Arabidopsis thaliana: one gene and its partner. The protein of the gene in region 1 interacts with the protein of each later gene in a pairwise test. Each region holds a gene or a part of one and is shown on either strand. Other genes may lie near its edges.

Region 1 (3,506 bases):
AGTAGCTTTTTACTTATTTATTTTCAGACTAAAACACTCAGTTTTTGTTTTCACATTTTAGTTGCGTTTGAAGATTTTGAATTCGAGGATATGTTTTGTTTGAAGAATTTATTATCATCTCTTATTACACCATCGTCATTTTCAGGAATTTGCCTGTCAATAGTTAGATTTTATGCGTAGTGTGGTTTTAGTGCTTGTGGAAAATGGGGATTCTTGAAGTAATGAAAGTGATCATTAGTGATGTCTTCTGATCGGGTGCTTGATACAAATTCTAACTTGATGTTACTTAATAGAAAAGATTATCTTCGTAAAGTACATGTATGTGCTATCACCAAAAATGTTCAACAACTCTAGCTTGATTGCTTTGCTTGTTACTTGCTAGTTGCTACTGTATTGCATTGCTCTTTTGAGCTTCCTCAAAGTTGCCTGTTTAATTCTTATGCTTCTGTCTGTAGAGTTTGTAGCATGTAAAGGACTTATCTCAGACGCTTGTCACATGTAAAGTTTGATTGTGCCGCTTGAGCAATTGAGCCATATGCGTCTTATATCTCGCTGTCTTCCTCCAAAACCATCGGTTCAATTATGGCTGTGCATATATATATGATATTCTTTATTTGAAGAATTTATTATCGCTTATATCAACATATACACATGAAGACTCAATAATTAAGTGATATTTTTTGTCACTATTTACACAGTAAAAATACACATGTTACTGTACTATCCTTATCTTACATCAAATCCCAATACTAAACTTTCCAAAATGGATCTGCACATTTTAAGTGTTACAAACTCATGTGTATCAATCATAATCACTCTCTGAAAGTTCAACAACGACTTCACAATAAGCAGAGCATCTCCTTAATCTCAAGAGTTCCACTGATGATTAGAGCATAAACTCTTATTCATTCTCTCACAACCCAAACGCAGCATAAACTTCTTTACTAGTTACATTTCCGCCCTAACTCCGCTTATCTATCTTTTCACAACCAATACAACTCACAGTCACACAACACTGCAACTCTCTTAGCTTTCTCAGCCACATATCAACAAGATAAAACCTAATTCTTTCTCTCAAGCTGCACAGAATCAGCTGCTTCTTACTTCGCGTCTCATATGGTCGGAGTCCCGTACAACACAGCCAGAAACAACGGAACAGGGGATGCTCTGTTTCTGAGAAACAATGAAACAGGGGATGCTCTGTTTTTGAGCAACAATGAGTATAACTACTTTAACAACTTGACCGGAGCGTTGACTCGCAAATCTATATGGACAAGCAAATCTTTCCTTTTTATAGTAGATCTTCTTATTAATTAAGAGAGAGTGAAAGAAAAGGAAAAAACTAACTATTTCCTTTTTATCAATCCTTAACGGCTAAATTACACAAAATCTATGCAAAGATATCGAAATCAAATCTTCACAAGATTTTTGTTTTACCGATTAGAAGAGTGACAAAACTAAAATAAAAACGCATTTTTTTCTAACCCTAAGGACCAAATTTTCTATTTCACAAAGTTGTCTCACTCACTTTCATATTCTTCATCATCTTCTTAGGGTTTCCTAAACCTAATTCGTAGTTTCACTCTCTCAATTTCATTCGTCTTCGTGCTTTCAATTACTAGAAACAAAAAAACAGAGAGATAATCAACAAGAAGATGGCCATTCGATCTTTACCTTCTTCCTCTCGCTGTTCCTCTTCTTCTTCTTCTTCTTCTTATTCACTCGCTTCAACGAGTCTAAGCAATAGACTTGAGACCATCTTCAAGAAAGCTTCAGAGCTTTGCACTCTCTGTGATATCGAAGCATGCGTCATCTATTACGGACCAGACGGAGAACTCAAGACATGGCCTCCGGAGCGAGAGAAAGTGGAAGACATCGCTCTCAGGTATAGTCAATTAAACGAAGCCTTGAGAAGGAAGAAAAGTGTTACTCTTTATGACTTCCTGAACAAGAAGAAGGACAAGACGAACTTGGAGAAGAAAGCAAAGATAACGGACAATGATGACTTGAAGACTTGTCTGAAGAACGTGAATATTTTAAAGTATCCACTCGCTGATCATTACTCTCCCGACCAAGTTTCTCAACTGATTCAGTCCTTAGAACCTCATGTCTCTAAAGTCCGAGAAAGGATTCGTTTTGTTGAGTCGCAGAAACACAAGGAGACAAAACCGGATCATCAGAGTTTAGCATCATCCTCTCTGAATCATCAGACCCAATCTTTGAACCCTAGCCAGTTTTCGCTGTTTATGTATAACCATGGAGACAATACTCTGTCTCAGATCCCAGTCTCTGCATCAAATTTCAATCAGGATTATTTCTCAGCGTTACTTGAACAATCTGAGTTGAAGAGTCAGATAATGAAGCAGGATCTTTGTGGTTATGAGCAGAACATGTGCATGAGTAACCATGGAGATGCTACGCTCTCTCAAATCCCACTCTCTGCATCAAATCTCAATCAAGATTTCTCAGCCTTACTACAAGACGAATCTGGCTTGATGCAACAGGAGCTTTGTGGTTATGATCAGAACATGTTTATGAACAACAACAACTTTCAACATTCTTTTGTCTCAAACACACAAGATCACTCTGCTCCTGTGGTACAAGAATCTGTGAACAACAACTATGGGTTGATGCCGCATGTTCCTTGTGGTTATGATCAGAACCTGTTCACGAGTGATATTACCAACAACAACCTTCTTATCAACAACTCGATGTTTCTCTGATAACAAAGCTCATGTCAAGAGAGTGTGAAACTGTTTTTTCATCTTCAAGAATTTTAATATGTTTGTTGTGGATGTTTTATTTTGCTAAGTATTGCATAACGCATAATGTTTTCTTGTATCAAGCTATATTTTACTATGTGAACGTCCAATTTATCAAGTGAATATATATTCCACCGCATCAAAAAGTTATCAATTATTTGGTATATAGCTTCGTGAAAATATCAAACCAAATCACTTATTTTAAGAAAAGCACAAAAAGGATTAAGGATAATAGAAGAACAGTGTCCTAACTTAAAGCTTCAGAGTCCATATTATCACTCCATATTTAGGGACACATATTTCAACTTTTTACACTCCACCATAGTTAGGTATGTGAGCCTAACAAAGTTCTCAATCCACAAAGGAACTTCCTCGATCCCTGTTTGGTTTAGACAGAGACATGAGATGTTGCTTGAGATATCTGGAAAACTCTTCAACTTTGAACATCCACTAAGATCAATTCAGATATTTGAAGTTAGCACCAGTGGGAAGAGACTCTACATTTTTCCTTTTCATCAATTCTAAAAGTCTTCACCTTTTACCAAAACTTCTGAACACTAAAAGGACAGAGGAGACTCTCAAAGTTTTATTGAGCTCTCATATCCTTAAACCGGAAAGAACCACATAATCTTCACTACTAATAGAATCAGGAGATAAAGGCCAAGAGGAGAGTGAAGGAGTCATCACAAGACAAACAATAAATAGCAGTCTGAATATAATTTAATTGTGAAGCTTGCAAACATT
Region 2 (4,333 bases), on another chromosome or scaffold:
TTCTTACGAGAATGATTAGATTTATATCAATATCTTTATATGCTAAGAAACCTCTCACATTTTGTGGATGAACACTCTCTTTTGCTGCTTCATGTTTTAACTTGGATGTTTTCTTTTGTCTCCTGCTTATTCCCAAGCAAGCATACTAAATAAACTCTCTTTTTGTGTAGATACATGTAGCTTTATAGTCAACTTATTTTGAGTATGACACAAAGTAGCAATAAAACGGAGACAAGGCCACATAAACACATTAAAAGGATGTTTCCCTTAAAGATTGATATGCAAATGGTGAGATTAAACAATTATGCGGCAGACATAGCATCATACATTTGCCTAAATTTACTTTCATGGGGATTTAACGAAATCGTTTATCTACGATTAGCCTGAAAATTAACCTTTAGTAATTCGATATGTATAAATTAATTACATACCTAATTTTTTTTTTTGCTGAATAAATGTCTAAATTAATTATGCTTGCATCGATTATCAAATAAATATGTCGAATCTCAAGATTTATCAATAATATATATACTATATAGTAATGTTGGAGTTTTCAAGATGATTCTTCCATTTGGCATTTTGTTTACTCAAAAAGTCTATTTAAGCCACTACACATGGACCAAAATCATTCCAAGTACTAGTAGTGGTGGTGGTGGTCTTACATCATTAAAAACACACATTAATTTTGTTTATAGAAAACCATTGTTTACTTAAGACTAGTTCCTGAAACAGTTTCAAAATGTTAAGAAGCAAGTTGTTAAATTACAACACTACAGATAATGTTACAAAAAGTAGGTTTTACCTAAGTCTTATCTACCACTTGCTGCCAAATTTGACTGGGTCTGATTTAGTACTAGCTTCACCTGTTTCTTCACCCAACTCTTTACTCTTTCTTAATTCCAGAACCTTCCTATGAAGATTTGAGTGAATCTCATTCGAGAACGTCGGACTATCCGCCGGTCTGTATTCCGGGCAGAGCCTACCAGACTTAAACCGGACTCCACATGCATTACATAAGGTTTTTGGACCGACCGGACCGGTTCTCCACTGTGGTGTGTTGTTTGTGCCACAATGGCTGCATCTTCGTTGAAACACAAGGACAGTTTCTTGTTTCTTCTTCCTCAACTGCTCTGTTGCTGCATGTTGATGATTGGTTGAAACGAGTGGCCAAACACGACTACCGGTTAAACTGTTCCGAGACCGTTTGGTTCTTGGTTTAACCGGAATTCTTGAGAAGCTTGGTTTGGTTTTATGTGTTTGTGTTAAGAGAAGTGAAACTTCTGGTGATGAACAATCATCCACAACACGAGATACCCATTCAAGCTCTTCCACATCTTCATCCTAAAAATATCCCAAAAAAAAAGAAATCAAGAAAAATATAACTTAAAATCTTTCGATTATAAGAAGAGAAAGAAAAGGTATAAAGAAGTTTAGAAATTTACCGGCAAAGAAGGAAGTTGATCAAAGATGCAAGGTTGTGAACTAAAGACACAATCATGTTCTTGTTCTTCTTGCTCTTGTGAAGAAGAAACAGAGACAACTTCTTCTTCTTCTTCTTTTTGACCTTCTGAGAAATCGAGGAAACACTCAACGGAGAAATCTTCCGGCAAGGAAGAAGTTCGGCTTAAATCTTCCGACACAATCACTTGGTGATGTTTGAGAGATATAGTAGATTCTCCTCTTAGACTTGCCTTTAAGGCTCTAGCTTCTGTCCACAGCTCCATTCACTCTTTAACACATACACACATACATATAGAATTCTTTTTAAGTTTCACTTGACATACTCTGAATTCTCAACTATTACAACAACCATAAACATACGAAAATAGGCTTAAAACTAAAGTTTATAACCTATAACAAAGTCGGCGCATGCAAACTTTCGAGAAACTAAAAAGATGAGAAGAGGAGAGAGGTATGTGGGATATGCTCATCGTATCTCTTTACCTGACAAAGACGAAGAAGAAGGAGAAAAGCTGAGAGAATGGCGAAGAAACAGAGGAAGAGAGATATTCCGATAAGAGAAAAGTAAGAGGGCACTGAACTTAAAGGAGGATTCTTGAAGGGGTTAAAAGGTAAAACAGAGACTTTTTTTTTGTGTGTGTTTGTGCTTCTTCCAATTCCAAAAGTTAAAGCTCTTTTTTCCTATCTTTTTTTTTTGTTTTCTTTTCCCCTAATTTCTAAGTTTGTGGAATATTACAAAATCTTCTTTCACGAATGATACTATATTGGTATTTCAGAATCAATGCTTTTCCTCTTCTTTATTTGTCTCTTCATTTTCGTGTTAAACGGTGTGTCCTTTATTTCAATGTAAAATATGGATCAGCTTAATAAAAGATCAGGATCAAGTCTAATCCACTCGCCTCTATATTTCATTTAAAGCTCACAAGACTTGTTAAGAAATTGTTTGCATACATGAAAAATTAATTGATTATTCAATTTTTGTATTTAGAAGAAAATAAAAGAGATAAAAAAAAGTGATGATTTCTTTTTATTTTCACGTCAGGATTTGTTTTATTTTCTCCAAATTTCTTTGGACCTAATCAATGAGTTCTTTACGTGGATGTTTTTGGCGTGGGCTTATCCTTCGTCACATATTGATAAGTCAGGTCTGTTTCGCATTATTCAATACAAATTTGATTGTTTTTATTATAATTATTGTGAAGGGTTATATCATGATGCTGTGTTCCTTGTCCATGCCAATTTAGCTTGTCTTGTCAAAAGGGTTGACCATTTCTTCTTAGGAAATGTTGAAACATTAAGTTTTACAATGGTGATGAATTTGTTATTTCATAGTACTAACATTAACAATTTAATAGTATACATGCACAATATTTTGCTTGTCGTGTTAAAACTAGTATTATTGAAAGTCACCGATTAAACCTGTGATCTTTTTTGAAAATTTTAAAAATTTTGATATCTAACTAAAGGACCAAATGAAATTAACAAAGTGATAAGAACAATCCAATAATAGCTCAATTCTATACTAATACAATAATAGCTCAAAATTTAATAAAATACAAAGCATGAAATTTATAGAAAGCATCCAATTTTTTTATTTTTTTTGTCAAACAACATAAAATCATCCAATCTAGAATCTTAAAATTGAGTTAGATGTCCCATATACTGCGTCTGAATATAGATAAGAAATTTCATTCAGTCATGAATTTAAGAATATAAAATAATTCATGAAGCAAAATTAATTTTTACATGCATTACCAAGGATATATAAGATTATTTTCGCATTTGTTATGAGAACTGGCAAATGACAAACAAGTATTACGCGATTATAAAACAAACATTGCCATGCAGTCGGTGATGTCCACATATGATCTAGCCAATCTTCTATGTTATGCTATTTTTGGCATTAGATATGAGATTAGGTAACCCAAAGGAGAAAACATTTTTCCGATAAGATACATTAAGTTCATACCCTAATACCAAATCTCATATTGATTACATTTTATGGAAAATTACAGGATAGATATAATAATATCTGAATCCTATTAGAGATGTCAATTTGGATTAAGTCGATGTGTTAAAAACCAAATTAAGATTATCTCTACCGAAACCCCTTGAACCTTTTACAACTTTCCAAACACACAAATTTTTTATAAATAAAATAAAATAAAAACAAATGTTGATTTCAAATTCGATTCAAACACCCAAAAACAAGAGCATAAATAAAGTTCCTTTTAACCCACATTACGCAAAGAAAGAAAAAAAAAAAGAAGTGTGGGTTTTTGGTAGTGATGGGAATGGAGATGGTGCAAACCACCGTTGGAGTGGAGTTCACCAAAGCAACCACTATAGCCAAATCTTTTGAACATTTTATTTTTATTTTTAATAACTATCAAAGTATACTACTTTCCTTCCAATTATGAAATCTTTCCTTTTTAGTATAATTGGTCTTAGTCTTAAAACAAGATTAGGGTTTGGTTTTTTCGAAAGAGTAGTTACGATCACTTAGTTTGGTGGTATATTTTTTTCTGCCAACCTTAGTTTATTGTGTGTGTGGGACTTTATACTCGTGTCGCTATATACACATTGATATGTTTTGAAGATTTTTTATTTTGAAAGTTGGTATATATTCCATTTTAACTTATTTTGATTTTCGTAAAATTAGGGGGAAAACAGAAAAGTTTGAAAAGGGAGCAGGCTGGTGAGGAGTGACGAGAGCGTAATGGGGGAAAAGAGAACGTGTCACATTTTCCTCTTATTCGTCGATTCACGACGCATCATCATCATCACTCTTTCCCTTTTCTTATCTTTTATAAAACATGGAGTAGTTTTTATCATTTTTGACGTCAAGAAAATGGGAGAGAGTTTCAAGTCC

The links.
Region 2: the proteins of AGL81 (region 1) and GATA3 interact in a two-hybrid assay, tested with the Arabidopsis thaliana proteins (one large-scale study listed by BioGRID).

What each region holds. Positions count from the first base shown.
Region 1 is NC_003076.8:15,905,220-15,908,725, forward strand, and holds AGL81 (AGAMOUS-like 81), read left to right. Parts: upstream 1-1,655; coding exon 1,656-2,723; downstream 2,724-3,506. UniProt on the Arabidopsis thaliana protein: Probable transcription factor that may function in the maintenance of the proper function of the central cell in pollen tube attraction.
Region 2 is NC_003075.7:16,551,091-16,555,423, reverse strand, and holds GATA3 (GATA transcription factor 3), read right to left. Parts: upstream 2,280-4,333; 5' UTR 1,945-2,279; exon of another isoform or gene 1,730-1,944; 5' UTR 1,725-1,729; coding exon 1,443-1,724; intron 1,342-1,442; coding exon 814-1,341; 3' UTR 552-813; downstream 1-551. UniProt on the Arabidopsis thaliana protein: Transcriptional activator that specifically binds 5'-GATA-3' or 5'-GAT-3' motifs within gene promoters. May be involved in the regulation of some light-responsive genes.